Alligator mississippiensis: one gene and its partner. The protein of the gene in region 2 purifies or fractionates together with the protein of the main gene of each other region. This does not show direct contact. Links are inferred from orthologs where the notes say so. Each region holds a gene or a part of one and is shown on either strand. Other genes may lie near its edges. The genes, in order: TMEM30A and ATP11A.

What was found.
Region 1: the proteins of ATP11A (region 2) and TMEM30A purify together in Homo sapiens (co-immunoprecipitation; 4 studies listed by BioGRID and IntAct, with this or other methods). This does not show direct contact. The link is inferred for Alligator mississippiensis from reciprocal best matches to the Homo sapiens genes ATP11A and TMEM30A.

Annotation. Positions count from the first base shown.
Region 1 is NC_081824.1:65,528,578-65,544,611, reverse strand, and holds the start of TMEM30A (cell cycle control protein 50A), read left to right. Parts: upstream 1-8,846; 5' UTR 8,847-8,916; coding exon 8,917-9,165; intron 9,166-16,034. UniProt on the Homo sapiens protein: Accessory component of a P4-ATPase flippase complex which catalyzes the hydrolysis of ATP coupled to the transport of aminophospholipids from the outer to the inner leaflet of various membranes and ensures the maintenance of asymmetric distribution of phospholipids.
Region 2 is NC_081824.1:352,402,233-352,418,266, reverse strand, and holds the start of ATP11A (phospholipid-transporting ATPase IH), read left to right. Parts: upstream 1-7,960; 5' UTR 7,961-8,328; coding exon 8,329-8,367; intron 8,368-16,034. UniProt on the Homo sapiens protein: Catalytic component of a P4-ATPase flippase complex which catalyzes the hydrolysis of ATP coupled to the transport of aminophospholipids, phosphatidylserines (PS) and phosphatidylethanolamines (PE), from the outer to the inner leaflet of the plasma membrane.

The DNA of each region.
Region 1 (16,034 bases), about 290 Mb from region 2:
CCTAAGAGTAGAATTTGACTCTAAGCAATTAGAGTTTTGACTGTGCTGCACATTCATCAAGAACTTGAAGTTAGAAAACAGCACTGGTGGTGAAGGTAAACTTTTACTGTAGTTTACAACTGTTTTATGTTCTTTATTCAATTCTGGAAGGAAGGTAAATGTGTCTGGCTGAAAAGCTTTTGTAAATAATAAAATAAATGTGGAAGAATGTTCTTTATTTGAGAACTATCCTTGTTTCACTTGCCTTCCCACATTCCTGATTGTTTGCTCTACTCATTCAGTAAATATGAGTAAGATAATTAAAAGATGCCATCTAGTGGCTTGCTTGTGGCAAAAAGGGAAAATGAAAACTATACAGCTATTTTTAGGGCTGTCAAACGATTAAAAAAATTGATCGTGATTAGTTGTGGAATTAAAAAATTAGTCACAATTAATCACAATTTTAATTGCACAGATAAAAACTCAAAATTATGCAGAACAACCCTCAAAATTATGCAAAATTATGGAGGTACTTTGTTTGGTTGTGGGTGTGGGGGAGAAAATTATGACGTGTGGGGGGCTATGGGTACATGTGTGGAGTTTGGAGCCTGGGGATGGGGGATCCTACCCCTGGCATGATGCGGGGTACTGTGAGTCAGGAGTGAGGGGCAACAGCAGGGCTGGGGGGGCTGTGGCTTGGGAGTGAGGGGCAGACAAACATATGCTCACAGACACCACCCAGCAGATAAGTCTGTGGAGGGGGAGGGCTGGGGGGAGAGGAAAGGGGCAGGGAGGCTGATCGAGGCCCTCACGGTGAAGGAGGGAGTGGGGCAAAGGCTGGGATGAATGGGGTCCTGGGACTGGTCATGCGACAAGAGCCATGGGTGGTTTGTCCAGGGGTTTGGGGGACACAGCTCCCTGCTGCTGTGTGCAATCCTGAGGGAGGCATGGGGAACACATACCCCCTGATACATGCATGGGGCAGAGGCAGGCAGCCTGCTGTGAGCTGGGGCTCTGCATCCTGTTGCCTTTGCCCTGGGTGCCATGCAATGCCATGTGCCTCCTGCCGCTGGGTAGGCAGGGGACACACAGCTAGCACGTGAGTCCTGGGGCAAAGGCAGCAGGGTGCAGCGCCCCAGCCCACACAGGCAGCTTGCCTCTATTCTGCACAGAAACTGGGGGGAGGGGGGTGTGCCCCCCATGCCTCCCCCGAGGGTGCATGCAGTGACGGGCAGCCATGCCCCACCATGCCCCTGGATGAACCGCTTGCAGCTCTGTGCCATGACTTGTCCCAGCCCCAGGGACCCATTCACTCCAGCCTATGTCCCACTCCCTCCCTCACCATGGGGGCCTTGATCTGCTCCCCCACCCCTTTCCTTTCCCCCCACCCCTCCCCCTCCACAGACTTACCCACATGGTGCTGCTCTACATGCAGCGTGCAGGCTGTGGTTGCTCATGTGTGCCAGTTTGTGTGCGCCCAGGCTGCCCTGCACTCCTCTGCACTGCCCCGTTGGGTGGCCCGGATGCAGCGGAGCACAGCCCAGGCACAGGCTCCAAAACCACATGCACGATCAATGTGCTAAAAAAGTTAATGCAAGAACCAATTACACATTAATCATGTACACTAACTGCGATTAATTGGCATCCCTAATTTTTAATATATTTTCAGTTTTCCATTATATAGTTCTAAAAAATCAAACACTTTAGAACCATTATTTAAAAATTAAACTTGGACACAGCTTCATAAAAATATAATTGTGGCAAAGATACACAGATATTTTTAAAATAGTTTTTTAAAATCTTATATATTTTTAGGGAAGGGAAGGAAATCACTCTTACTCCTTAAGAAATATACAACCGACTGATGTCTGAAAGGGTATTATATGCATTTCTAATTAATGGTTGACTATGTTATTTTATTTCAAACCTTCACAAATATTTCAATTATTTTCAAGGTACTCTCAAATCTACACTGATGATGAAGTTCTTAGTAAATATGTTGTGCATAATAAAATGTACTACTTCAGATTAAATGACTATGATTATTTAATATTTACAGTAAAATATTATAATTAAATATCAATGCAGACAGACTGATTAGGATAATGGACCTTGTATATTAGGCACAATACAATCCTCAACTACAGTTCTGCAGTCTTTTTACACATTATGGATATAATTCTGTTGGCCATAAACTTAATGGCAGAACTAAATGTGGAAGAATGTTATTTAAGAAGTATCCTTGTTTCTCTTTCCTTCTCACATTCCTGATTGTTGTCTTAACTTTACTGGTTCAACAAATATGAGTAAAATAACTACATTACAACCAGCAACCCTAAAATAATTAAGATATAAAATGTTATGGCATAATGGGGAAATAAAAACTGAATAAAAACTGGCCACACATTTTTTTTAGTGAAAAAATGGTTCAAGAAAAAATGTTGTGTCTAAATCAAAACTTGATGCATTACAGTTTTGACAGGAAAAGTTTCTGTTCCAGGACTAAATTTCTTGTCTAAGTGAGAGAGGACCATACCCACATACAGACATCCCAGAAGAGCTACAGTATGTTAGAGAGGGCATTCAGCAAGATTAAGTTCCTGATCTGCCTGATTCAGACTAGGATTTGAGCCTCAGTTTTATAATGGTTTATCTTGTTCAACTATATTATTATTTTTTTCAAAGCAGCAGAGATGTGGTCTGAGCGCTGAGTTGGGAGCCAAAGATATCTGAGTTTTAATTTTGGCTCTAGTAGTCTCTGTTTTGCCTTGACTGAAACATTTATCTATCTCACAATATTTTATGAGGTTTAACTGTCTCTAAGATGTTCTGAAAATAAATACTATAACATGCCAAATTTAATTTTAATATTTTTATTTTAAAAAACAATCATTAAAATTAGTCTTATTTACCTTCTTATAACATCAAATATTTTCCTGTCTTTTCTTTTAGAGAGTGTCATCATTCATCAGTTACGCATGAACTCTAGATGAAATACTACATCAAATGTATTCTGTATGTGTGCACTTCCTTACTACAAGAGTTGGATGGATCACTGTTGGAAGCTCTTTACCATTACTGCCAGGGGCTCCAATGCTACTGATTACTTATGGAAGTATCTATTGCTTCCACTGGATATTTGTTTTGTTTGGGGTTTTTTCTTAGACTTTAAAAAATGCAATGGCGTTGCTAATATTTTCAAAGTATATAGTGAGAGAGAGCAGCAGTTTTGCTGCCAAATGAATTTTACTCTTCTTTTGCAAAGCATAAGGCATATGCTTGATTTTGTTTGGTGTTTGCTATATAATTTATTTTTATAATACACTTTGTAATGTAATTTTCCCTAAGCCTTCCAATTTCTATTGTCCATGGCACATTTATATGTAGAACACTGTCAAATTCTGAAAGTGTTGATTGATATTTTTCTATTAGAGAGCCTGTTAAGAAATTACATGTTAACAACAGTGCATTTTTAAATGGAAGACGTACTGTACTCAACACAAATTTTCCTGCCACCTTATAACTCTGTGAGACTAAATGTTCTGAAGACTGCTGTACAGGATATACTGTTATAAGTTTTTTGCACTGTGCGGTGGTTTGGCGTAAAACTGAGTACTAAAATCCAGAGTCCTAAAGTACTACCTGACTTCATAGATTGATTTGAAATACTGCAAACCAGTGTTCGTTAAGCTGTGATTTTTTTTTTTACGTGTGTTTTTACTTCTGCCTGTACCATAAAGTCAATTTTCATTACACTATAACAAATAAATTTTCACTAGTATGCAAACACAACCGAATGTCTGAATGGTAATACTAATTTCAGAAGGCTGACCCCATTTCAGTTGTTTATAGAGAAGGACACGCATGATTTTGGCAGTTGCTGCCCTTAGGTTAGTATTTGATACCATATTAAAGTGCATGCATACATACATAAAGTTGACCCTGATATTGCCAAGTGCTTTAAAGAAAAATCCATTGCCTGACAGAGCTAATGATATTATTGTTTCTAGCTGTGCTTTCTTGACACTAGCAAATAAATCACAAACTGAACTTAAATTTTATATCAGCAGCCCTGGGAAGCTGGAACATAAGAAGCAGCAAAGTGAGAATTCTATGGCAGCTCTTAAAATAAAAATGATATTTCACAGACTTCTTAATAAGATGCAATACAAACTGCATACAGTATAACTTCATAAATCCAGCATGCTCAGGACCGAGCATCTACCGGAAATTTGAAAATTCCGGAGTTTTGAAACTGGAGCGGTGGCTGGTCATGGAGCGGGGGATGGGGATAGCAGCAGCTGATCCTGGAGCAGTGGCCGTACATGGAGTGGGGTGGTGGACGGCGGCAGGAGCTGCCACATGCAAGCTTCCCCCTCTGTGTCTTGGGAGGCGGGGGGTTGTGGCGGCCAGTCCCAGAGCAGCGATGCGGGGTGGTGAATGGTGGTGGTAGCCATTGCGTGCTAGCTTCCACCTCTGTGGCTGGCAGTAGTGTATTTTTTAAAAGTGCCAGATTTTCAAGAATTCTGGATTGTTAATGTCTGGATTTATGAGGTTATACTGTACTATGTTTTCTGGTATTTATTTTCATAAATAAGTATTTTTATAATTAATTAGTTGTATTATGAATTGTTGCCATATTTTTAGTTTGCAGAGGCTTCAAATTCTATGTTGTCAAAAAACTTACCTGGGGGGGGGGAGGGGTTGGAATATGGAGGAATGTTTCAGGATTAAAGAACAGATGCATTAACTGTTCATTTCTGATAAATGAATGAATGGTGAAACACTTCAGTTTTCCTATTCTGACATATTCAAGAACAATATTTAACCTCATGCTGAAATGAATAGAGAAGTTAATCCCTTAGGCTGTCTCTGCACTTGGAAAGATAATGAAGTGTTGATTTATAGTCATTCAGATCATGTTTCCAATATTATTTTCTCAGTAATAAGAAACAGGATATTTTAATACCACAATTTATATTCTGCACCACATTTCACACCAACAGAATGGTAGGATATGCTGCTACCTATATAGCGTGTATCTTTCTGACAGCATTTTTAAGCTATTTTATGCGACTGTTTGCTTCCATGAAATTCTAATATTTGTTTGTTTTGTATAAACTTTATATGAAGTGAATTCATTTTAAGTGGGTATAAAGTGTCATGATATGGCAGCCTGTAAGGAAAAGACGAAAATGCCAGTTACAGCATCTAGAATGGATACAATCAATTTCATTTTTCTTATGAAGAATGAACCCTGCTAGGTTTTGGCTGTACTGGAAAAAGCTTTCTTGTTTAGTTGTTTTGCTAAACCCTCACAGTGATGCTGTAGCTTACATAATAGAAGATATTGAAAGCGTGTTCCACAGCCTTCTGACCTTATTTGTGAATGAATCACCACCTAGATTAAAAATGGCTTTAATCTAATCTGTAATGAAACTGGCAGTTATCTCAGTGAACACAGCAACCCTATCACAATGTTTTTTCTGGTTTTAACACTGCTTTTAACTTCCTGTTGTGCTGTCTGAAAGCCTCAGCTGATATAGAAAGTGTATTTTACTTGTTGAAATTTAACAGCATTCTGATATATTTTGCTTATGGCAAAAAATATTGTGCTTGCTGTAAGAACTTCCCCTAACCCCTACCAAAGACACAATTTGTAGAACTTTAAACAGTTAAAGTATTTTTGTTTTTTGTTTTTGTTTTTATCAGAAATGCAGCTAGGATTTATTTTCATGTATTTACTTTTTAAAATATTTTGAATGGAACTGTAGTATCCATATAATTGGGAGACATATTTCACTGGCTGTAACCTAAATGCAATAAAATGTATGTTGTTGAGGTTTTCCATACACGTTAAGCTTGTAATATTTGACTGGCACGCAGATGTATAGTATATTTTGTAAGATAACAAATGCCATCTGCTCGAAATGTATCCCATTTCAGATGACAAGTGAATTTTACCCTGTGAATTAAAGTTGCTGCCTAAATCTTTAAAATAGTCTCATCCATATTTGAATATTGAGGGCCTGAATGCATTACATGTTCACACTAGAGGAAACTGTTTTTGTACTAGTATAAACCCTTAACAATGTAAAACATGTTAGAATCTAGTGTAGTTACCCTGGAGAAAAATGGTAGTAAAAATACATACAGGTGGAGGTGTTGTGTTTGCAGTTATCTTAGGTAGTCATTCAATCATTGCAAACAGCTTATTATATGTGCCTCATCAATTAGTGTTGAGGTGCTTTAAAAGTGTTTACTGCAGTGGCTGCTTCAGGATCCTTGCCTGTCTGCTCTGGATTCCAGTGTAATTTACAATACTGTAAAAACCGATACACATCAAACTGGTAGTATCTTGGCCCTCTATTCAAAATATAAAAATTAAATATAGTAGCTATGTAATTACCTTCTGCTTTTGAGTACTTTGGGAGAAAGAATAGTGACAGATGGAACTAGAGACCATTCTGGCCTTGACACCTGGAAAGATCATGGAACAGGCCCTCAAGGAATTTATTTTGAAGCACCTAGAGAAGAACAAGGTGATCAGAAACTGCCAGAATTGATTCACTAAAAGCAAGTTGTGTCAGACCAACCAGATTTGCATCTATGATAGGGTGACAAGTTCTATGGAAGTGGAAAGCAGTAGATGTGATATACCTTGACCTGTGACCTGGTCTGCCACAGCATTCTCATTAACAAACCAAACTGAGGAAATACAGACAAGATGAAAGCACTGTAATGTGGATATATAACTAGTTGCATCGTGTTCAATGAACAGTCATCAATGACTCAATATCTCGTTTGGAGGAGGTATCAAGTGGGGTTCCTTGGGAATCTGTCCTGGCTCGGGTATTGTTGAACATTTTCTTAATGATTTGGATGAAAGAATTGAATATATACTTAGAAATTTGCAGATGACACTAAGTTGAGTGAAGTTGAAGACATTCTGTAGGGTAGTGCCAGAATCTAGAATGACCTGGAAAACGTGGAGAAAATGCCCACAATCAATCAGCTGAAATTCAATAAGGACAAATGCAAAGTGGTGCACTTAGGATGGAATAACTGCATGACAAATACAGACTGAGGAATGACTTGCTAGGTTGCAGAACTGAAGAGGACCTGGGGTTACAACAGATCATAAACTAAGTATAAGGGAACAGGGTGCTTTTGTTGCAAAAGAGCCAAAAGCAGGCTGATTTGTTTTAACAGGGTTGTCACTTGCAAATCAAGAGAAGTAATCCTTCCAGTGAGTCTCTCCACTTTTGGACCCTGCACTTCAAGAAAGATGTAGTAGACAGACTGGAGAGAGTTCAGTGGAGAGCTACAAAAAAAGATTAGAGGCCTGGAAAGGATGACTTACACGGGATGGCTGACAGAGCTAGGATAATTTACTCTGGAAAAGAAAGTCTCTGATAGTCTTTAAATACTTAAAGGATCATTATAGAGAGAACAGAGAAAAATAATTCTCTGTGGCTATGTGGGACAGGACTTGGAGCAAGGAGTTCAACATTCAGCAGAGGAAATTCAGGTTGGATATTAGGAAGAACTTTCTGTTTATAAGGGTGGTCAAGCACAGGAACAGAAGTTATGGACTCTCCATCCCTGGAAATTTTCAAAAGCAGTTTAGACAGATACTTGGCTGAGATGGTTTAGTCAGGGATGATCCCACCTTGAACAGGGGACTAGACTAGATGACCTTTTGAGGTCCTTTCCAGCCCTACTTTCCTATGATCCTAAGTTATACTAGAAATATTCTTTTCATACAAATACACTTGTTAAAGAAAATAATCAGTCTTCCATTTTACACCTCGGAAGCAGAGAGTATGCTGAACTCTCCCTTTCCTTTGTGTGCTTACTGGCATAATTGCAAACAAGTAAATAGTCTACAGAAACACTATCCCCATGATACTTATAGTAATTAAATTCAACCTCATCCACTTCAGTATCTTACTTAGGCACATATAATGCTACTGGGAAGGCAGGAAGAAGGGCCTGTTTGCTGTCTCACTTCTTTCCTCATCCCCCAAAATTACATTGGGTCTGTTTTAAAGCATCAGACCAAGGAGAAAAACAAATCACTCAGGTCCACTGAAGACCCAGGAACCAGGTGGGGGGAGGATTTACCCCCTTCTGCCCTTCACTTTGGGTGAAGTTACACATTATACACAGAACATACTAAATCTGTGGAATATTAAATGGTGTTAAAGCTACAACGTGCTGTGAGCAATCGCACATAAAGTAGGGTTACCGTATTTCCAATTCCAAAACAGAGGACACCTGTGGGGGGGGGGACCTCACTCCCCACCCGCAGACCCCTGGCCCAGATGGTGGCCCTCACTCCCCACCCAATCCCTCACCTCCCCAGGCTATGCTGGTGCCCCTCACTCCCAACACGCATCCCCCTGGCCCTGCCAGGGCCCCTCCTGACCCGCAGACCATCCCAACCGGGCCAGCGTGCGGCAGCTCCGGTTTTTGCGGGTGCTCGTGGAGCGAGTAGGAGGGAAAAGGGGAGGCCTGTGGCATCCCGCCCCACGCCCTGGGCTGGGGCTCCCACGTCATGGCGGGCGGCCCCTGGCAACATCTCCCGGCCAGCGCCCCACGATCAAGGGCACTAGCCCAGCTCCCCCGCTGCTCTCTAGAGAGACCGGGCCTGCAGAACGCTAGCAGAGCAACTATGCATGCGCCACCCCAGCTGCGGGGCCGCGTCTCACCCACCGGACTGCGCATGCGTAATACTCCTCCCTCTCGCGCTCTGACTTTCCCCTGACACGGCGCGTCATCAGCGCGCGCCCCAGCTTCTCCCCTTTTGCGCAGGACGGCGCGAGGCCCGATCACGTGGCGACGGCGGGCGGTGACGTTGTTGTGTCGTTGCAGCCCCTCCCCCCCTCCCCGGCGCGAGCGGCGGAGGCGGCGGCGGCCCCCCGAGCCCCCGCCATGGCGGTGAATTACAGCGCGAAGGAGGATGCGGATGGGCACCCGTCGGGCGGGCTGGGCGCGACGGGGGGCGGCGCGGCCAAGACGCGGAAGCCGGACAACACGGCGTTCAAGCAGCAGCGCCTGCCGGCCTGGCAGCCCATCCTGACGGCGGGTACCGTGCTGCCCGCCTTCTTCGTCATCGGCCTCGTCTTCATCCCCATCGGCATCGGCATCTTTGTCACCTCCAACAACATCCGCGAGTACGAGGTGCGCTGTGGGGCTGGGCTGGGTGCGTCCCCGGCCGGGCTGCCTTGTCCCTGCAGGCGGCTCCGGAGTGCACCCGGGGGAAGCCGCCGCGGCCCGGCCCGGCCCGGCCCGGCCCGGTCCGGTCCTGCCTGCAGTGTGGCCGCCGGTTTGAGCCTCCCTACAGGGAGGTGCGGCCCAGGTGGAGACAATCCTCGGGGTGGGAGGGGCAACGAAATGGTTTGGGGCCCGGGGCGCAGGGCTGGTGAGCAGAGGCTGAAGGACTTGGGCTTGTTCAGCTGTCTGGAAAAGACGGGAGTAAGAGGGGATTTGATAGTAGCCTTCAGCTACCTGAAGTGGGATTTGAAAGAGGATGGAGCTGGACTGTTCTCAGTGGTGGCAGATAACAGAATAAGGAGCAGTGGTTTCAAGTTGCAGGAAGGGAAGCTTAGGTTGGATATTAGGAAAAACTGTCTCACAAGGAGGGTAGTAAAGCACTGGAACAGGTTACCCAGAGAGGTGGTGGAAGCTCCATCCTTGGAGGTTTTTAAGACCCAGCTAGACAAAGCCTTGGCTGGGATGATCTAGTTGGGGCTGGTCCTGCTTTGAGCAGAGGGTTGGACCCAGTGGTTCTCAGCCTTTTTTTGTACCAGGACATATTTGTAACCATAGGTGGCAAGTCCTGACCCAGTGCCCCTCACTCCTGACCTGCTGCCCCCCACTCCCAGGCCCCCAGTGTGCGAGGCAGGGAGGCCCCAAGCAGCCCCTCACAGGCTGCAGCTCTGGCAGCCTGCAAGAGGGAAACCACAGCTTCCTCCATTTTTCTCTATTTTGAAAGTTTGCTCACAACCCTTTCGTATATTCTTGCGACCCACTATTGGGTTGCAACCTACAGGTTGAGAAGCGCTGGACTAGGTGACCTCCTGAGGTTCATGGATTCATAGATTGGAAGGGACCTCAGAAGATCATCGAGCCCAGCTCCCTGCACCAAGCAAGAAAGACAACCGGGGTCAAGTGACCCCAGCAAGGTGACTGTCCAGTCTCCTCTTGAAGATCTCCAGGGAAGGTGATTGCGCCACCTCTGGAGGGAGCTTATTCCATGTTCTGGACACCTTGGCTGTGAAGAAGTTTTTCCTAATTTTGAGCCTGAAACAGCCTTTCAGGAGTTTGTGACCATTGCTCCTGGTTTTCCCCAAGGGTGCCCTGCTGAACAGTTGTTCACTAAGCCTTTGATGTATGCCCCTGATGTAGCAGTAAGCTGCTACCAAGTCCCCTCTCAGCCTTCTCTTTTTTAGGCTGAAGACACCCAAGTCCCTCAGCCTTACCAGAGATTTGCATGGCAAGCCATATGAGGTCATACGGGTGGCCCTTCTCTGGACTCTCTCAAGCTTTTCCATGTCCTTGTTGAAGTGCGGTGCCCAGAACTGGATGCAGTACTCCAGCTGCGGTCTCACCAATGCTGAGTAGAGCTGAAGAATCACTTCTTTGGTTTTTCTGGAGATGTATCGATTGATGCACGCCAGAGTATTATTTGCCCTGGTGACTACAGAATTGTATTGCCGGCTCCTGTTCATACTGTGGTCAGTTATTACCCCCAGCTCTCTTCCATTCATAGTGCTGGTCAGATTGGCATTGCCAAGCCTGTAGGTGTGCAGGGGATTGTTCGTCCCCAGGTGAAGCACTTTACATTGCCCAATGTTAAACCTCATCTGGTTCTGATCCGCCCAACTTGCCAGCCTGTCTAGGTCCACATGTATCTGCAGCCTATCTTCAGGCATGATCGCGCTTCCCCATAACTTGGTGTCATCTGTGAACTTGGCCAGGTCCCTTCCAACCTTAATTTTCTATATCGCCCTTGTAGCACAGTCAGTACCCCACAGACACACTTCACTATTGAAGACTTTTAAGCAGCTTGATCTAGCCTGACCATCCTCCAGATACTGGTAAGGCCCATCACCCATATCTCAGTGCCAGGATGTGGTCCTCAATAGGGTTTTTGGAGGGTTTTTTTTAGCCAGGGATCTGCAAGTTGATTTATGGGGTAACTATAATACTAGGGGAACTTTGAAAGTGGAGAAGATGCTTGTTGTTTTAACATGTTGATTTAGACCACGTGCCTACGTACAAGAAGTTCAGTGCTAGCATGTGTATACACATATGCTTTGTCAAGCTGCTACCTAAATGCAGTACAGTTAATGTTTCTGTGTTTCATACCGTGGATGTCCTGACAGGCTACAAACAAGCTTGGAATAATGCACCAACGGTCTACTCGCATCAGGGGACATCTTGCAGTGATACTGTCTGTAATGCTGAAGTATACTAGGGAGGGCCCTTGGTGGTGCTTGTGTATACAGCTGGCAAGTAGCCAAAATGTTATCTTCATTTTAAACCTTTACACTGAGTTTAACAATTCTAAGTAGTAGAGGTGCACTGATACATCGGTCCATATCGTATCGTTACCAATAAAAGGAAAATTGAAATTATTGGTAATCGGCTTTTTTTGGCTGCTGTGGCCAATAATGTCACTTATAAATCTGTGCGTGCGCATAGCCACAGCATGCATGCAGCCACTGGGGGACTTGGGCGGAGGGAGTGGCTTCTGCTGCTCCATGCACCTGCAGGGTGAGGCATGTGGAGCACTTGCCCCCCAGATCTGTGAGTGAGGCAAGAGCAGGCTGCCACTGTGTGCTGGGGCTGGGGGTGGCACCAGGCTCTTTCTGGTGGGGGGGACTGGGGCTGGGCTAGGGCTGCACTTGGGGCAGGCAGCAGTAGTGCTGGGAGGAAGGGCTGTGGGGGGTGGCTACAGCCACCTCAGAATTCACTGTAGCCTCCCCGAACCCCCACTCCCAGTGCTGCTGCTGTCTGATCCAAATGCAGCCTTGGCCCAGTCCCCACCTCTCACCAGGAAGAGACCAGCGCTGCCCCTGTCCTCAGCTCACAGCGGCAGCTGCCCTTGCCTTGCGCACAATTCCAGGAGGCACATGCCCCCTATGCCATCCCCCCCACCATGAGCTGCTCGTGACTTCGTCCTGCCCCAGCCCCACTCCCTCCCTCACCGTGGGCAGCCTCACTCTGTCCTCCCTACATCCCCTCCTTCCCTCTACCTCTTCCCCACAACTGACTTGCTAGCTGGATGCTGCTCTCCAAGCTGCCATGCTGCATATTGGCAATCAGATCGGTATCAGCTGATATGGCTTGTTAATAATCAGCCATCGATATCAGCCCAAAAAATCTTTCAGTGAACCCCTACTGAATATTAAAACAATGCAGCTTTTTGGTGAACAACTAAAAGCCACCTCTTCCATCATCCATGCTCAATGTTTGATTAGCTGGTAGCTTCTGTATTTTTATAACAACAACCTAATTTCTAGCAGTTGCTTTTTAACTTGTTGATTGAATAAGATGAATTAAAAAAAAAAAAAGAAGATTGCTCACAGTAAAAAAACAAAACAACATAAGAGTGTGTGTGTTTGTAGGAATGCAGTGGTACAGAGTATGATGCAACCAGTGTGAGCCAATAAAAAATTACAAGTCCTTGTGCAGATCCAGTAATTTGACATGGACAGAAGTAGACAGAATTGTGAAGATCAGAGTAGTTGTTTTAACCCCTGGTAACCAAGCAGCATATGTTCTCATTTGTATATCTCTCTAAAGTTTTAACATTGCTGTAATAAAATGTGTAAATAATCTAAAATTGAAGCTGCTCAAGTCAAGGAATGTAAAAGATTAGTTTGAAATGTACTTTGTGTTCTGTCACTATCGTGTCTACAGTTAATTGCTTTCTAAAAATATGCACCTTTGTGCTTAGATCTGAGGGCATGCATTGCATCGCAAAAACCTAATTGATTTCTTTTAAAGAATGCTGTTAGGATAGGGTTTTTAAAAAAGGCATTTTCTTGTGGTAATATTTGAGGTAGTTGTGTAATCTTTAATGGGATGCAATTTAGAGAATGGAAAGGAACGGTTCCTTCTAATACATTAACCATTGGCAAACTGTTGACAGTGGTGTTTTAAAAAAATTCTTATCTTTGGTTTAGGTTTAGTTATTACAGCTAAAAGTATTTACATTTTTATATCAGTTTTTATAGAGTGTGGAGACTAAAGATAAGGACCTTAATCCATATTAGACACAGAAGTAAAAGTAGTAATTTGTTTTGGTTTTTTTTTTTAGAAATGCAAGATACTCCTAAGCTCCTCCCTCCTTCTTATGCAAAGGGCCTGCTAGTTACAGCACTCGACCAAGAAGCAGGTTCAGGTTCAGCACTGTCTGAAAGATTGAAACCACTTTTCAGGAGATGGGCCTGATCACATCAGGCTATAGGTTTTTGATGTAATAATGTAATGGGCCAGAGTGATAGTGAACAAGCCTTTGTAGCATAGTAGTTAGGGTAGAGTACTCACTTGGGAGTATGGAGATTATGGTTCTTCTCCTTGTTTCAAACACTGTTTAAATTTCTTATCCAGTTGCTTTTTTAATGTGGGAGGAAATGTATAAAGGGGAAGAAGGGGATGGCAGCACCACCACTTCCTCCTCCTGGAGCTCTTTTTGAAAGGCAGGACTCTGGAGCTATGTTTCAGGAGAGGGGTTAGGCTTGGGTGATTGTAGATAACTTGCAACCTAGAGTTAGGTGTCTGAGTCCTAATTAGGCTGGGGATTTTAAGATGCACACCTTGTCATGGTTTCGTTCTGACCAGTCTAGGTTACTTCCTGCTTGGTGGGAGGGGTGTTGTAAATCCCATTCTTTGTTTCCTTATTCTGCCCATGTTCTGTGTGGGTGGTTTAGATGCCGAACTTGTGCCTGTGGATTCTGGTTTGGAGGGTGCAGGATTGAAAGCTTGGGTGTCACAACATCCAAGTTCCTTGGTCAACCTAAACACTGGTATATTTAAAAAAGATTCTGCTTTTATTTAGATGCAAACACTTGTTTTGCATCTAAAACAAACATTTGTTTGTTTTAGATGCAAACAAACAAAAAACATTTGATTTTTGTAGAAGTGGTCCCAATGATTTAACACAGGTTTAAGTGTTTGCAGAACTGTGGCATAAGTATAGATTTAGAAGCTGAAATTACGTACTCAGTTCCAAAAACTATGGTCTAGTTTCTTAGCTGTTCTCTTCGTTATTTTAGCTTTTGGGCATCTGTTGGATTCCCTTGGAATGCCTGCTGGGAGTGGCATGGTGTGGTGTGGCAGGAGCAAGAGGAGCAGGAGGAGGAGCAGTTGCTGGAGGCACGGGGCTCAGAGCAGCACTCAACTGGCTGCAGCCACCTTGGGAACAGCCCACTGGAAACTGCTCCAGCTCCCTGGAAGATGGCTGGGAGCTGAAAGGCAGAGCTGGGTGTTGGGGCAGGAGCCACCAGGCTGAAGCTGCTCACCCACCTGCCTGGAATGGTATGGCACAGTGCAGCAGGAGCAGCTTCTGGTGGGCTGTTCTCAGTGCTGTCCCCTGCCACGTGAAGCGCTGTGGGGGCAGCTGTGGGCCAGATCCAGTCACCTGGTGGGATGGATTTGACCCACAGGCTGTATTTTTCCCACCCCTGATCAAGCCCCTATAATTCTTTTGAGCAAGTAAATTTTTGTTAATTTGACTACGTTGTTTAAAATACAGAGTGAGCACTTCACAGATTGATAACAACTTATTTTTTTTAGTAAAATGTAACCACACTTTAATTTTGTCTTTCACTAACATTGATTTTTATTTTTTACATAATAATTTTCTAATGAAGCCATATTTACTAAACTGACCTGGATATTCCAGAGCATTAATGGCAAAGTGAATGATTTTAAGTTAATTTTGCTTAACAAAATGGACTTAAATTCAAACATGGATTTTTATTTGCAATGGAGGATAATGTATGATGCAATTTTAGACTTGCTTTGTATAATTTTGACCATTCAGCTAAGTACTCAATAACAGTATGTACGTTTGCATTGATTTCCACCAGAGCTACCTTAAATTCAAATATGGAAGCTTTCCACCAGATTTAGTATCAGTATTACATATCCTGCACATAAGCAGTTTTCTAGCATTTTTGCAAACTCTGTTTCGCTCACACAAGAGTTTCATAGCAGATAGTGTGTTCATAGTTATCAAGGGGAGACGAACGTAATTTAGTTGGAAGAAACAAATATAAGCTACTAAAGAGAGATTCTTTGAAAAACCTATTTTTCCCCTGGAGTAGAAAGATTGCATTAAAATCAAGTTTAAATTTACCAAAACTCAACTGGATCCAGGACAAGATTCTTAACCTCAAAGTAATATTGTGTAAAGAGAATGATTGTTCAGTTGTTTACTTCGAGAGGTGAAGAAATTAACTTAACGTGGCAGCTAGGAAGGTTTAGCAGTTGTACATAATCAACAGAGAACAACTCCCCCTCTTCCCCTTTTTTTCCTCACTCTGAATTGTTACTGTCTAAGGGCCTTACCCTAGATCAGGGGTTCCCAAACTGTGGTACATGCACCCCTGGGGGGGGGCACTCAAGACATCTCTGGGGGGTACATGGGAGAAATTGTATAATGGCATATTTAATTTTCATAATAATAATTGGCATTTAATGGGGTTAAAATATAAAATGTATCCTGGTAGGAGTGCATTGGCAGCTGGTAAATCTGGAAGGGGCTATGCGATAAGCAACAGTTCGGGATCCTCTTCCATAGATCCAGGGAAGCTCCAGTCAAAAGTATGTTCACATTGTTTGTCTATAGGGATTTCCTACATTGTAGAATTTGCAGTCTACTATTCAGAGATTCGATTTTCCAAATGCAGTCTGCTTTATTGTAACCCTAAAGTGTCAGAGTTTGTTTGGACTAACTGAAGAACTAGAGTTGGATGTGCATAATGAAGTTTTTGTAAAAGATGAGGTTTTTTGTTGGTTTGTTTTTTTTTCCAGAT
Region 2 (16,034 bases):
TTTCTTATGTCTCCTCACAACTCCCCACATTTGCTGCTAACCACTTTCAGTTGCCTCTACAGGCGTCTTTGCCATTTGCTGAAAAAAAAAAGAGACAGATGCCCAGATCCACCAAGGTATTTAGATTCTTAACTCTTATTTAGGCATCTAACACCCATTGATTCCTTAGTTGATCTTGGTTTTAGCTCCTGTAATGACCTAAGTAAAAGACTTAGCTGGGCTTGACTGGGAAATAGAAAGTAGGAGTTTTGATACCTCCTTTCTCAATGGCCCATATAGACAGACTGGTACTACTATCAGCATCCTGTAGCAGGAATGTATCTTGAAGTGGTGAGTTAGTTGTGAATCAGTTCCCCAGTATTTTCAGTGCAGTGACAAAATCAGAGTCAGGGGGCTGCCAAAGAACAGAACACATATATCTAGGGTAAATATGTAATATTTTTGTAGATGTTATAGTATCTGTTTAATCTGTAATCTGTTTAATCTGTTATAGTATCTGTTATGGTATTAGTTTAATATCATTTGCAAATGGTAAGCAGGATGCTTTCAGTGAAGCTGTGGTAATATGAGAAAGAAATCAGAAGAGTCTGGGAGATTCTGAGGCAGGTGTAGTGGTAACAAAATTTAGGGCAGGTGCCAGTTGAGCTGAACAGATGTGGGGAGGCTGTGAAGAAACTGAAGAAAGGAAAAGAGTATTTTCTAAAAGGTACAGAAAAGCTGAATATGGGTGGAGAGTAACTGGAAAGATTTGATTTGTGCTTGGGGAAAAATAAAGCAGAAAACACAGAAAAGTAATGACATGAAAGGGTGTATGAATAAGTTAAGGCATGCATTATTTTAATAAATAACAGATAAAGCAGGACTATAATGAAGAAATCTGAATTCTCATTCTTACTCTGCTGCTAACCCACCATGTGACTGTGAGCAAGTCAATACAGGATATGGGCACCTCAAGCAAGACTGAAGGATTTACATAGGTATGAGCTCCTGGATTCCGAAACTGCAATCAATCATTCAAAATCATTCAGTTCAGGGGAGGGTGAACAGAAGAATACCTCTGTAGTCTAGTACTCACAGCCCTCAGGAGATAGAGGAGGCCAAGTCCAGGCTTCTATTCTCTGGATAGTTTCTGTGTGTTTATCCAGCATGTGTTGAATGGAAAGGACTTGTATTTCACATTTAGGATGTCTCCGTCCTTGTGCTAGAACATCTCATTCTCTCTCTTGGGCCTCATGACTCTTGTACGCTTAGTTTCCCAGGGTCAACTGGGGAAGTGGGGGGTGTGGAGTGCTTCCTGCTATAGGACCTGAGTCAGGTACCTAAGATCTGGAGATGTACAGGAATTTGGGCACACCTCTGTGCTCAGTACTTATTATCTGACTTGTCACTGATCAGCATATGAAGGGGGTTTTTTTTCCCATTCTATGGCCCCTTGCACTCTTCATGGACTACAAAGAGAACCTAGGTGCCTAACACAAATATGGATTCATTTGTGTCTAGTGAGGGATGTTAGGTGTTGCACAGTATCAGCAAATGTACCATAATCATCATATTTGCACAGTAAATTGGACCCCAATAAGTACCTGCACTTGAAACAACATTTGAAATAACATCTTCACTTGACTTTAAATTGTCTTTGTGTCATCCCTCATGCAGGTGGACTTGCTTGGGGACATCTTACACACGTGACTGTGCTTCTAAAGCTGAGCACAGAGTAGCAGAGGACAGTGAACAGAGCATAGAGCAGCAGAGGACAAAGTTCTAGAAGGTGCCAGTGAATGAAAAGCCTGAGCTATTTCCTGTGTATGACAACATGATAATCTATTTGGGACAAAGAATCCGTTTATGTTTACATATTCTTGAATCTTTGTGATATATGATAACTCATTGTTATATGCAATAATTCTGAGGTTCCAATATACAACTTCCATTTTCACTCCCTTTTGCTCCAGTACCTAACCTGCAGATATGTAAAAACTTCATAGCATTTATCCCCAATCATATAATGCATGAATTTCCCTCACTACAAATAAGGATACGACTAATTAACCAATGGATGCTGAAATGTAATTATTTATAAAGTGCTTGAGGTCTTTAGATTTGATACTGTAGACAATATTAAGTTTAAGGAAGACAATTTAAAAGTTCTGAAATATTTGAAAATGCATTTTGGGCATGTAGCGTATAGATGTAATCGAAGAAATGGCACTGAAAAAGAGGCAATTAGTGGATTACTTGGATAAGGAGAGTGCATTAATAAAACAACTTAAGCTTTCCTGTTGCTGTTTAGCAGAAATGTTGTGTACCTAGTCACTCCCATTTATGGTTTGATATTTTTTTTTCATACCAAAAGATTTGTAGAAAAGATTAATTAGAAAAACATTGTATTTACTACAAATTGTTATTTAAGGTGTTTAAATAAATTAGGGGAGGAGGGGAGAAATTAATTTAGTGATAGTTAACATATACTACACAGCTGTGTATACACAGCAAAATTCCTGATTAGTTTTCAGTTTCAATCGTGGCACTGCTGAACTGCTCAAATCCATAGTCCTGTGCCAATCATAGACTCATACAAAGTTAGGCTTAGAAGGGACCTCAGGAGGTCATCTAGTCCAACCCCCTGCTCCAAAGAAGAAGCATCCCCAAATAGATAATTCCAGCCACAGCTTTGTCTTGCCGGGTTTGAAAACCTCCAAGGATGGAGATTCTACCACCTCTCTGGGTAACCTGTTCCAGTGCTTTACTACCCTCCTAGTAAGAAAATTCTTCCTAATATGTAACCTAAACTTTCCTTGTTGCAACTTGAGACCATTGCTCCTTGCTCTGTCATCTGCCACCACTGAGAACAGTCTAGCTCCATCCTCTTTTGGACCCCCCTTCAGGTAGTTGAAGGCTGCTATTAAGTCCCCTATCAGTCTCCTCTTCTGTAGACTAAATAAGCCCAGTTCTCTCAGTCTTTTCTCATAAGTCATGTCCTCCAGCCCCCTCACCATTTTTGTCATCCTCTGCTGGACACTCTCCAATTTGTCAGCATTATTTCTGTCGTGGGGGGTGCAAAACTGAACACAGCACTCCAGATGTGGCTTCACCAGTGCTGCATAGAGGAGCATAATCACTTCCCTTGACCTGCTCCCAACATACCAATGCAGTCCAGTATGCCGTTAATCTTCTTGGCAGCAAGGGCAGACTGCTGGCTCATGTTCAGATTATTGCCCATTGTAACCCCCAGGTTCTTTTCTGCAGAGCTGCTGCTCAGCCAGTCAGCCCCCAGCCTGTACTGGTGCATGGGATTGTTCCATCCTAAGTGCAGGACTTTGCACTTATCCTTGCTGAACCTCATGAGATTCCTTTTGGCCCAATCCTCCAGTTTGTCTAGGTCACTCTGAATCCTAGCCCTACCCTGCAGCATATCTACTACTCCTCACAGCTTGGTGTCATCTGTGAAGTTGCTGAGGGTGCACTCTATGCCTTCTTCCAGGTTGGCGATGAAGACATTGAACAAAACTGGCCCCAGAACCAACCCCTGGGGCACTCCACTGATACCAGCTACCAATTAGACATCTAGCCACTGATTACTACTCTCTGAGCCTGATGGTCCAGCCAGTTTCTATCCATATTACAGTCCATTCATCCAGCCCATACTTTCTTAGCTTGACTGTGAGAAGGTTGTGGAAGACCATATCAAAAGCCTTGCTAAAATCAAGGTACACCACATCAACAAAGCCAATCATCTCATCATAGAAGTCAATCATAAAACCTGTTATGTTTTTATAGAATGCTGTAGTAGAAAGCCCACTGTATTTTTTCTTTTTGTCATTTTTTCTCTTTTCTTAGATGTTTTAAATTTCCCCTTTGATCTTCAAGGAAATGTAATTAAAATAAAAACCTCATGGTACAATATTCAGGCTGTAAATATGGGAATGAAAAAGACAGGTAACACAAAAGTTAAAATAAATTATTATTAGTAGCAAAGGTAAGGAAATCTATTTTTAACTCAAATCTCTTTAAGGTTTGGAATAGCAACCACAATAGTTCAATCACATTGCACTTACTGCATATTAAATTACATATTTTTCAGTCCAACTAGTAATAAAAAATGCTGAATGTATATAGTGTAGCTAAATTAAAGGTGACCTGTAACAAAAAATGGGCTTTTGCCTTTTTCTTTTTCTTTTAAGTTTGTAAGGAAACTTCAAACAATGTGATTTATTTTTTTAACTTTACCTTAACAGCAGCACAAGTTCAGATATTGCTTGTCCTGGAAGCTTTTCATGATGGCTACAGAACTAGGGAACAATGATAACACAAGAACCAAAAGGAAGAAAGTTGATAATTTAGGCCATGAAGTAGGCCATGCAAAGCAGCTTTACCATCTGTGTCCTAGAGGTCTTAGATTGTGACTGCATAAAATGCTTTGGGTTTTTGTTTTCATTAACACAGATTTACCTAAATTGAATGATTTTTAAGTAATTTTGGAGAAAGAAATTTATGTTTAAAGCTTTCAGTTAAGGTGTGAAAAATAATAAATATTCTCTGAAACCATTCAAAAGCCACAAGCCAAGGAAAACCAAAAGTAATTCTCTGTGTATTAAAGTGAAAACCAAATGGAGGGGAGAGGGGGGAGGAAGAAAGAAGGGTAGGGGAGAGCAACAAACCACTTTTCTAACCCTGAGAGGTCATCTTTCAAAACTGAATAGAAATATGATATCTGCTCACCACTGTGTGCACTCTCTCTCTCTCTCTCGCTTCAGCAGCAGGGGAAACAATCAAGAAAACAGGTTAATTTTCACAGGTGTTTATAGGCCATTACTCTTTCTTAGGGCTACAGTGTTTGGGTTTCAGTCATTGTAGAACAAAGTTTGTTCAAAACAATCATTTCCACTGGAATTAAAAAACTTGGAGAAGTTTCCCCGGGTTTGTGGGAGTTTTTTTTCTCTTTTGCAAAAGTTTGCTTTGATAAAATATTGGGTCAAATAGGAAAGTTCCTAGTGTGTTTTACAGGCTTTACATTTAAGGTTCTCTCTCAGATGTGCAAGCTTAGTCTGTTGCAGTAGACTTTTAAACTTAACTGCATTGTAGCTTGCTCATGGGGGAGAGGAGGGGAAGGGAGAGGAAAGGTGGACTGATACTAAACAGGTGTTAGCCAAGAAGTCATAGAATCATTGAAAATTAGGGTTTCTGTGTTTATCTCTGGAAATTAGTTTGTGATAACTTGGGCCCCATTTTGCCATTTGAGTGAACATATGGAGGGAGACACCCTGCACCCCTACTTTGGTGGATGGTTACACACTTATTTCTATTGCAAAATTTCCCCTTCCCCCCAGACACTATGGATGGCCATACTTTCAGTGATCACAGAATCATACAAATTTAGGGTTGGACAGGACCTCAGGAGGTCATCATGTCCAACTCCCTGCTCAAAGCAGGACCATCCCCAGCTAGATCATCCCATCCAGGGCTTTGTCAAGCTGGGTCTTAGAAACCTCCAGAGATGGAGATTCCATCACCTCTCTATGTAACTCATTCTAGTGCTTTACCACCCTCCTAGTGAGAAGGTTTTTCCAAATATCTAACCTAAACCTCCCTTGCTGCAACTTGAGACCATTGCTCCTTGTTCTGTCATCAGTCACCACTGAGAACAGTCTAGCTCCATTCTCTTTTGAACCCCTCTCCAGGTAGTTGAAGGCTGCTATCAAATCCCCTCTTTGTCTTCTCTTCTGCAGATTAAATAAGCCCAGTTCCCTCAGCCTCTCCTCAGAAGTCATGTGCCCCAGCCCCCTCACCATTTTCATTGCCCACCTCTAGACTCTCTCCAATTTGTCCACATCCTTTCGGGGGGGGGGGTCCAAAACTGAACACAGTACTCCAGATGTGGCCTCACCAGTGCTGAATAGAGTGGATTAATCACTTCCCTCAGAAGACTTGAAATCTCACTTCTGATTTCTTAAGCATTTACTTCTGAGGAGCTGATGAGATGATGTGGTCTCCTGCCCTTGCCAAGCGGGAATGTGATCCCCTGAAGAATGACTCATGAGGGTAAAGCTCTTACTTGTCTGGGGAAGTGTCTGCAGGAGTCAGGCCTTAATTCCCTCTGCCTGTTTGCACTGAGGACTGTTTGGCACTGGCAATTCATTTATGCCCCCTACACTGTAAAATTCTTGTAGAAAAGGATACCAATCAAGATACCTTGCTAGGCACTGACTTCCTAACAATTAATTTTGCAGATTATTCACATTCTTTTCTGGGGAGGGGTTTCCCCTTGTATACCACATATGACCAAGTGAGGGCAAGTGAAGTGGTAGTGGAGAAGAATCTAACAATACCTCCCAGAAGTGAGATGATGATCACTGGCAAACTGAAGTGATGGCGATGTGAAGACGAGGGCTTATCTGACCCTACGTTCACTGATGAATTGAGATTCCTGGTGGGAAATCTCCCTTGTTTCCTGGGCCAGTTTCTGGGGCTGCAGGGGTAGCACAGCATGTTCCTGTGGGGGCAAGATCCTTTAAGGTAGTGCTGGGGAAACCTGAGCCTGCTTTCGCCTTTTGGAGGAAATCTTTCACATAAAGCATCCAATGGAACAAAGTGAACAGCTGCAACCTCTAAACTCCTGCTCCCCTTCCCTAAGGAAGCAAGAGATGAGTATTTATCACTCTGCCTTGTGCCTGGAGCAGCAGGAGCTTCTCCAGGGAGCTACTGGAGTGCCTTGGGGTTTCTCAAGGTTTCCCCCACCCCTCCCCCAGCTGCTGGTCTCTGCACAACTGCAGGGGGAGGGGAACTGGTGCCCCTGGGGAAGGGGGCTGATTTGTTGAGAGGAAGGTTCAAATTACACTTGGACTCTTGGGGTGGTCTGCAAAAAAAAATTGGGCTGCCCATCACAATGCTTTAATAAAATCGGAGACCCCCCTGGGTTATGATTTTCAAATATTATAGGGGACCTCTAGTATCTCTCGGTGGGGTAGGGGCTCAGCCCCTCCCCCCAGATCCTCCATAATTGAAGCCTGTTTGAGGCTCCCTCAATGATGGGTGCTTTTTGCCATGCCCCCCTGCAGCCTAGCAGGGGCAGGCACAGCCTTGATCAGAGTGCGGTACTGATAACACCAGGTCCCAGCTGGCTCCCTGGGGACTAGGCTTGAGATCCCTTCCAGCCTTGCATCTCCATGGAGCTCTATGACAGCGCTTCTCAACCCGGGGGTTGTGTTTGGGTTACGAGGATATAGAAAAGGGTTGTGAACAAACTTCAAAAATGGATTCTCCTTTAAAGGAGAAAACCATGGCAAAGGCTGGCTTTTCCCTTGCAAGCTGGCAGAGCTCCAGCCTGCGAGGGGCTGCTGGGGGCCCCCCTACCCCACACACAGGGTTGAATTACACTCTGACCCTGGGGGATGGGCTGCGGCGGGGGCAGCAGGAAGCTGGAGAGAGGCGCTGCCACTGCCTCAGCTGCTTAGGAAGGCGCACGGCAGGCCAGGAACTCTTGTCCCTTAGGGGTTTACAGGGGGTTCTCATCTCCGAGCCCCCCATATTTCAAACCCTGTGAATACACCCAGCCCCTGCGCCACACCCGGGGGGGCTGGCAGCAGCAGGTCAGGCGTGAGGAGCACCGGGTCGGGACTGGCCATGGAGGTTTACAAGTGGGTCCTGCTACAAAAAAGGTCGAGAACCGCTGAGTCCGTGATAGCCCAGAGGAGCGGGACTTGCACAAGCAGCCCCTGGGGGTGGGGGCAGCACTGCTGGAGGGAACCCGGGGAATGGCCAACGAAACCTTGGGGGGAAAAAAGACACAAGCCGCGTCCCGCAGGGGCTGGAGCCCCACCAGGCGCTGCCCGCAGCGCGCCCCAGAGCCGGCCCAGCCAGGTGCGAGGTGAAAGCACCGCCGCCGAGCTGGGGACAGTGCTGTGCGCATGCCCACACGCCCTTTATGACGTGGGCGTCTGGGGAGCCCGAGGAGATCAAAGAGCGGCTGGGCGCGGGAGAGCGGGCGGCTGCAGCCCGGCGAGGTAGTCCCGCGGGCGGGGAGCCCCGAGGCGCGCTGCTGGTGCCCGCCAGCCAGCTCGCTTCCTCTCTTCAAAGCCGCGGGCGCCGGGGAATGAGCTGCTGGGAGGCGCCGCGCGGGAGCAGCAGCGGCGCACACATGGCTCTGCCCGGCGCTCGCATGATTTAGCCGGGGCAGAGCGGCGGTAGCGCCCGGGCCAGCCCCAACGCCAGCCTCGGGAGGGGGCGCGGCGGCTCCGCTCCCCACGCGCGCCTGCCGGGGCGGCTCCTGCATGCGGGAGCGGGGCGGCTGCAGCTTGCGCCCAGCGGCGGCGGCAGAGCCCGTGCCTCGCCATGGACTGCAGCCTTCTCCGCACCCTAGTGCACCGATACGTGAGTACCCCGCGCCCGGCCCCCGCCTGCCTGTCCGCGCCTCCCCAGCGCCCGCCCGCCCGCCCGCGCACGGGAGCGGCGCCCGCGAGTACCCAACAGCCGGAGCTAGGGGTGCGCACACGGCCGCCCCGCTCTGCTCCTCACCCCTTCTTTCCTTTCTTCGTTTTTCCCCCGCTTCTTTTTCTTTCCTTTCTTCGTTCCTTTCCCTGCGCTTACAGTAAGGGATCATCGCGAGGCAGGGATTGAAGGGTCTCATGACTTACCCTGAGGTCAGGGGCATAAGTAGCAGCCAAAGGAAGTGTGCGCACACACTGGTCCACTTTCCCCGTGCTTGCAGTAAGAGAACATCTGCCAGGGCTTGGAGGGTCTCACGATTTGAACTAAGGTGAGGGAGAAACCTTGGCCGCCCCAGGGCAAGCGATTCCCTCTGGGTGAAAGAGATGGCTTCTGCATTTGTTAGCTTCGAAATGCACATCATGTAGTGTGACCTCCTGTCACTTGGGTTCACTTCTGAAATCCAGTGAACTTTCCCTGCTTTTTTATTTTTGGGGAGCACGTTAGCCAGGTGGCTGGAACTGGCCACTGATGGCAAAGCAGGTCTCCTTTTGGAGTTGAGACTCCTTTTAGAAACTGAAAGAGTCTGGCTATTTTTCACATAACTAAGTCACGTGTAAACTGACAGTTTAAATGTACTGACGGGGAGTGGGCACAAGCCTTCTGGTTCCCTCCTCTCTTGAAGATTTAGATATGTTGGGGAGTCCTGAGCACCCCTCACCCCTTTTTTGCTCTGCTGGGTGTGTCACTCCATTTCTCCTCCCAGATACTCTGAGCCCAGAAGCAGTTCAGCCTGAGTCACAAGGATTAGCATAGAGGCAAGGCTTTCTTAGGGTGGTGTCTTCTGTTGAACTATCTATGCAGTTGCGTAGTTAGATGAGCTTTTAAATGTAAGCCATGCTTCCTTAGCATTGAGAGAAGTGGATTGGGGGGGACAGTTTCAAGGGAGCTGAGATGCATGGGCCACTTATTAGCACTAGGTATAAGGGACCACAGGACCCTAGGAAAGAACAGTGGTTACAAACCATGACTCAGTTTCCAGCTGCCTACTGAAATGGCCAAGAAATCCTTTTTTTGGAGGGACAGGCAGGAATATGGGGATTTGAACATGAACTGTATAGATCTCCCCCACACAAAGGCAGAGGGGTTGGAGTCTGGAACTTGCCTCAAGCCATGAGGACCCATTTTGAGGGTGGGGCTGAGTCCTCACCACCTAGTAGTGAGTTATGTCCTTGTGTTCTCAGCTATATTTAGCTGCTCTTGGTAATGTTGTCCGATTGATAATGTCCCAGTAAACCAGTGTATAGTTTGGAGAAACTTGCTTTGGCTCCTGTTGTATTTCTGTGGATAAAATGAAAGCCCCCAGAGACATGCTGGGTATAGCAGCTACCCTTTTGCATACACATACTTTGGGGGAAATGAATTAATTTGAATATGAAAAATACTCCCACCATTGAAAGCTAATAGAGTAAAGAAGTCAGCATTGCATTTGGGAAAAAGGAGTTGTAGATGAGTGTGCACCAGAACTGGGTGGTAAAATCTTGCCTTTGTTAACACTCTAACAATCAAGATCTTGGCTGTACTAAATTGGCCAACAGCCGCTGAAGAGGGAAATAATACAAGGGGCAAAGGTTAAAAATAGGAAACTGAGGTTAAATAAATGCATCTGGAGTAGGAAGAAAAATAATTCAAAAAAGAGGTCTCAGGGTGGTCAGTGTGAAAGTCAGGGACCTGACTTCCTTTTATGGTAAAACAGCTAGTAAAGCCTAATTTGAGTTCCTTACTCAAGATGTTTGGGTTGAAAGAACAGTTCAGAGGGGAAATTTAGCAGGAAAAAGTTGGGAGCTGAAGATATGTTCGCTGTGGAAAGCCTTCTAAAACGATAGCTGTTATGAGATGGCATGCATATGTGTGTGGGGAGAAATAGTAATGAAGCTACTTGCATTTGTGCATCTTTAGATTATAAACCTGAAGAAAGGGGGGAATTGTTTCAAGTTATACAAAGCTGTGTATAAAAAAACTAGTTTGCACCATGAAAATCCAACTGAAAAATTTCAGGCTTAAACTCAGATGAGCTCTTCTGCCCATGAAGAGCTCTACTAGCAAGCAGTTGCATTCTGCTTGGATGTAGCAGGGTTCAGGATCTGGCCTAATAAAAGGGGGAAAAGTTGGCTAAATGAGGAGCTCTGCTAGTCTGTGGAATAGTCCTTTGAAGGAATTGGGTGTCATAAACACTTTTGGTGGAAACCAGACCAGAGACTGCGCTAGAAAATGTATTCTATTTTGAGAGATAAGGGAGCATGTGAAAACATACCCTGCAGAAAAATAATCATGTACTTGTGGGAGGATAGAGTCTCTGACCTAAAAGTTTCTTTTTGTAACTAATTATATTCATTATATAGACTGAAACGGAGTCCAGGAATTTCCTAATCTGGATGAGAGACTGTTTATACACTTCCCAAATCTCAGTACCCTGTGTTTTTGTTTGTGGGACAACTGAACAGATCTTTTATTTTCTTTTTTTCTGCAGAGATCTACAAATAGTAAGTTTTAATCTGTTGCTCCAGACTTTGCTTGTCTGCATTCTCTATAATCTCAGTTAGTTTCTTTATCTTGAATTTATTACTTCAAATGAAGAAGCTGTTGTGCACAGCTCAGGTTTATCATCTAAATATGCTCTGTACGAGGAGAACTGGATAGCTCCTTTTTCCAGCTCAGTTCATTTTCTTTTTATATAACTATGAGAGGAAATGTGCACTCTTAAAATCTTAAATGTTTTCCCTGAAACTGATGATTGATTGACAGAAAAGATTAGCTGATGACCATGCCATTGCAGAATCGCTGTTGCTTTTGTTTCAGAGGTATTTATTCTTTTATAGGAGACTGGTAGTTTTGCAGTTTATCTTTCTTTGTTTCAGATTTTTATTAAATACTGTTGTTGAGATGCTATGTCTAAACAGGAGCAAACTTGTGCTTAGTTGAAGTCCTTACCAGAGGATATTCATGAGAAGATTTGGAGTCAGAAAATTCTTAGTGGCTACTGTACTGAAGCATTGGTAACAATAGCTCTGTAATGCCTAGTTGTCCTAGTGAATAAATGGCCTCTAAGATATCCAGATCCTAGTCTGTTCAAGCTGCAGTACCCTGGGCTGCCTTGATCTTTTCAAGGGTGCTGCAGGGTGCCATACTATATTAGCACTACTTGGTGTACAGCCATGGTTCACAAGATAAACCCAGTGATTTCAAAGATGTATTCATAGTGTTACACACGTTCTGACCTGGTATGGTCTTTCTTAGCTCTTTACACCAAAAGAATTGCTCTATTATTTTTATGTTGTCAAAAAATGAGTGAAAGCTAAAACTTGATAGTTTCTTAGGGTTGCCTTGAATCTTAAAAGGTTGAGAAGCTCTGCTGGCTCCTTTGCTGTCTCTGTCTGGAGACATAAGGAAGTAGCTAGCTGAGTGCTCATAGCTCCGGTGTGATGTCTCATTAGTCTCTGTTGAGCAGTAAACGGCTTCTGCATGTCGTATTAGTTGTAGCTTCTATGTGGTGGTTTCCATTAGTCCCATATAATTTTCAGTTGTGGTGGTGATTAAATACATGAGTTATAATGTCAAGGTCTTTATTCAAAAGGAAAGGCCATTCTCTTTCTGTGTGTGAAAGGCAGCAGTTTATGTTGAAAAGCAGTACAGATTCCAACGTAACTCTTAAATCTGTGAAGCACTTACCAATCATTGCTCAGGAGCTTCTGGTTTTCCAGTTATGGGTAGCTTTTTCAAATATGTCTGGCTGGCTGGCTGGCTTGCTTGCCTCAAATTTTTCAATTGATTTGTTTAGGTAGAACATGGTAATTGCAGAGGTAGTGTGGACAGAGCAGATTTTTGACATTTGGAAAAAAGCATGACCAGAACTTTGATATCGTGTATTCAGTCTCCCAGGATGGTGGTAGACTGGCTTTAAAAATAACATCTCTACTCTGTTGTTGTCTTGCCCAATTCAACCTTGTGTTATGATATTCCTCCCCCCTAATTTTTTTTTTTATTTTTGAATAAAATATTTTTCTGTTCCCTCCTACCCATTTTTTATAAGGTTATATGTATAGAATAAAATTGTATGTGAAAGATGCTGAAGTGAATTGTACTGAAGTATGACAATTCCGGTAAGAAGACCTCGTATAAATGCTTTGGGATCCTTCAAGATGAACAGTGCTGCAGAAATATGCTTGACTAATGCCAGTTTTTATATTAAGTTTAAGGTAGAATATTTGTGAATTGAGTGTTTATTTACTGAGCATACAGTTTCTAGAGGGTTTCAGCTTGCATCTAACATGCCATGTTGCATCTTTGTCAAAAATAAAGTAGAAATATTTTTTCCCATACACCATTCACAATGCTGAGCTAGAGGACCTGAATAATAGTTCTGTACTTGCCAAGTCAAAACACTCAATTTGTCTTAAAGCTTTACATTTTATTATAAACAATGGAAGTCCCTTTCCTAATGTATGTTGATGATTTTAATTTTTTTAAAGTTGGGTAACTTCTGTCCCCAAGTTTTCAAATTTGATCAAACTGACTCTTCTGCAGAGTCATACATTTGGGTCCTTTTACAGGGAGCTTGAAGTAAACTGTGTGTTTGTGATGCATCTGTCAATTTTTATGGCTTTATAATCAGAATTTCCCAACTTTTAGCAGACTGTTTTTCCTCACCCCCCCCACCTCCCTTTAAGTCATAAGCAAAGACAAAATAAAGTAACCCCTCCTTTCTTTCCCTCTCTCTTGGGGTAGTGTGGTCCATTTCCTGGAAGATTGTACCTCTCTAGGGGAGTCAGATTCACAGTTTGAAAATACCAGGTTTAATGGTGTGGCACACAACAATATTTGATTGTGGTAAAAACCTGGATAAGCAGTTGCATGAAAAATTTAGCTTTTAAAGCAGAAATTGGCACCATTCGGTACTTGGGAGAAATTGAAGGTGCTTTGATAATTAAAACTACGTTGAGAGATTATTCCAGTTTAAGGCATTGTCTAGATGCCATGAAGTGGCGTGGCTTCATTTGTATAGTTCACTGCAATGTCATCACCTCCCTTGTGATAATTCATGTTATCCTTAGCAGTCTTAATGATTTAGAAGTTCCTCCTAACTGCACCAATTATTATTTCCCCTTTTTTATAATGGAGAGGGATTGTGTTCCATAAATAAAACACACAAGTCTTGACTCTTGTAAAATGAATATTGTTTTTCTTTCGTCATTTCTAATGTGTATATTTGTAAACATGATAGATACCTTATTTCTAGTAAGGTGCAGGGCTGCACAAGTTTGAAGTTGCTTTCTGGGGCAAAACGGAAACTGTTGCTCTTGGCATGCAGCTTCTCGGACACGAAGCAGTCACTGAACATCTTGCAACCTATTGTAATTGCCTACACTGTATTTTGGGGACAGCTGTCCCTGATTGGTAGATACTGTTGTCCAGGTTGACTGCTCTATTTTTGGCAGTACTGGTTAGGTTAGAGAATTGCAGTTACTGCCCTACAATTGCCCTGCTTTTCCTGTTTATATAGTACATTACAATTACTGACACTGCTGCTGTATTGTCTGCTCCTTTGTGTCCCCCCACATTACTACAGGATCATAAATCTGATTTCAGAATATTAAATATTTGTTGGCAGTACATAAATAGAAATGTATATAATATAACATTTATTTATTTATTTATTTATTTATTTATTTTAGTACTGTGTATTGTATTTGATAAATTGTCGGTCCTCTAGAAAGGAAATCTCTGCATCTTTGGTCCCTGGAGAACTCCCAGAGCTGTTACATTAGTCCTTTAAACTGGCTGAGCTTTTCAAATACTTTTTAAATGGCTTCATAAATGTATGCTTTGTCTCTCACTGTAACAGAAGTGGGTTGAAAGTGTAGTCTTAATTGAGTAAAATGATTGTAGTGATTGGCATAACAATGGTCTAATCTGGAAATTACATATAAAAAGTTTCAGTGTATTTGCCACAATATTTATGTGGAATTTCATGTTAGTTCTACTATGCTGTATTTGCAGTCATTGATGTAAATGGTGTGCCATTTATGTTAAGAGTATAGTTCTAAAATTGCTGTTCCTAGTGAATGCCTTAAATACTAAATTGAAATAATATTCATACACTTCAATATAACAAAGGCTGATGGAGCTTTAACTTGAAAGTTGGAGGGAAATCAATTAGGTTTATTAGTCTGGGGCTAATAAATAATAATAACAAACATGGTCAACTTCAAAAGTTGCTTCAGGTGCTGTACCTTCCTTTAGGCAAACTTCTGTGGATGTACAGTTTTATATTCATGTATATTTTAAGTATTGGTGTAAGGTCCACACAAACGAGCACTCTAGCTGACTGTTTAGGGAAAATACTTTACATTTTTAGTGCTATCAACTACACAAAGCAGCACTAAAAATTATGTTCTCTAACGTATTTTCCATTTTTAGTTTAGGGTATAACAATTGTTAAGTTGGGGAAAAAAAAAATCAGTAGCATGCCTCAACTTCATATCCCTTCCAGATTCAAATTTTGTCCAGAAGGCAGTAACATCATTTTGAAAAAGTAAGAACAGTTGAATTTGAAGGATTTCAAAGGTTAATTCTAAGAACTGAAACAAACATCATGACCTCCTCCAGCATCATTCACGTAGTCAGCATTCTAGCTTTTACTTCACCAAGAAATCTACATCTATGCGGAATTAAGACGCTCTATTTTGGAATTTTTTCTTTATTTAATCTCTTTTCTTGCAAGACCTTGTACTGTTACAAAGTCTATGTGCCAGCCTCTGATGGTACTCTTGTCTTGTGATGTTTGTGGCGTGGTACGTTCTGCAGCGTTATGTAGGCAACTTCTGCAGCCTGTGATCATTTGGCTCTTTGTGTGCCCTTGCTGATTGCACCTGGAGTCAAGTTAGCACTTAAATTTTCCTTAAGCAGAGTACTACTAGATAAGTAAGGTGACCATACGTCTTGGTTCCATATAGTCGAAACTAATTAGCTTCTCATGTAATCAACAGCTGTCCACTCTTAACTCTTGTTTTCTGCTTCCCAAGAAATTTGTGAAGAATTACAGTGGCTTTGTTCTTTGCAGAACTGGACACAAATCCCTTTATAATGAAGAATGACTTTCTTTTTTGAATAAACCTGTGAAAGTACAGCAGTAAACAGGTTCAGTTTCTGTAAGGCAGAGCATATATTACAAACTGGTAGGTATTGGTTACAACATATTGCTCTTCTGCATTCATCAAAGTTCTTTCATATTTAAGAATTTTTTTTTCTTCAGTCTCTGAATTGTTCCGATCTTAAGTCAACAAAATTTCTGAAAGACCTCTTAACCCTGACATTTTTAGCACCGGAATATGTTGTCTTGATATTTTCCTGTTTATAAGAAAAGTACCTATCTTTTGATAGCCTTCGTTTTCTTTTTATTTGCAAAATCATTGGATGTTTATGCAGATACTAATTCGCAACTGAACTTCATTGCTGAAGGAAAGAAGCATTTTCAGTAGACATTTGGGAATGTAAGAGAATAGTGCTTGAAGTAGCACTTGATAGATTTAAAATACCTATGCTTTTCCTTTTAT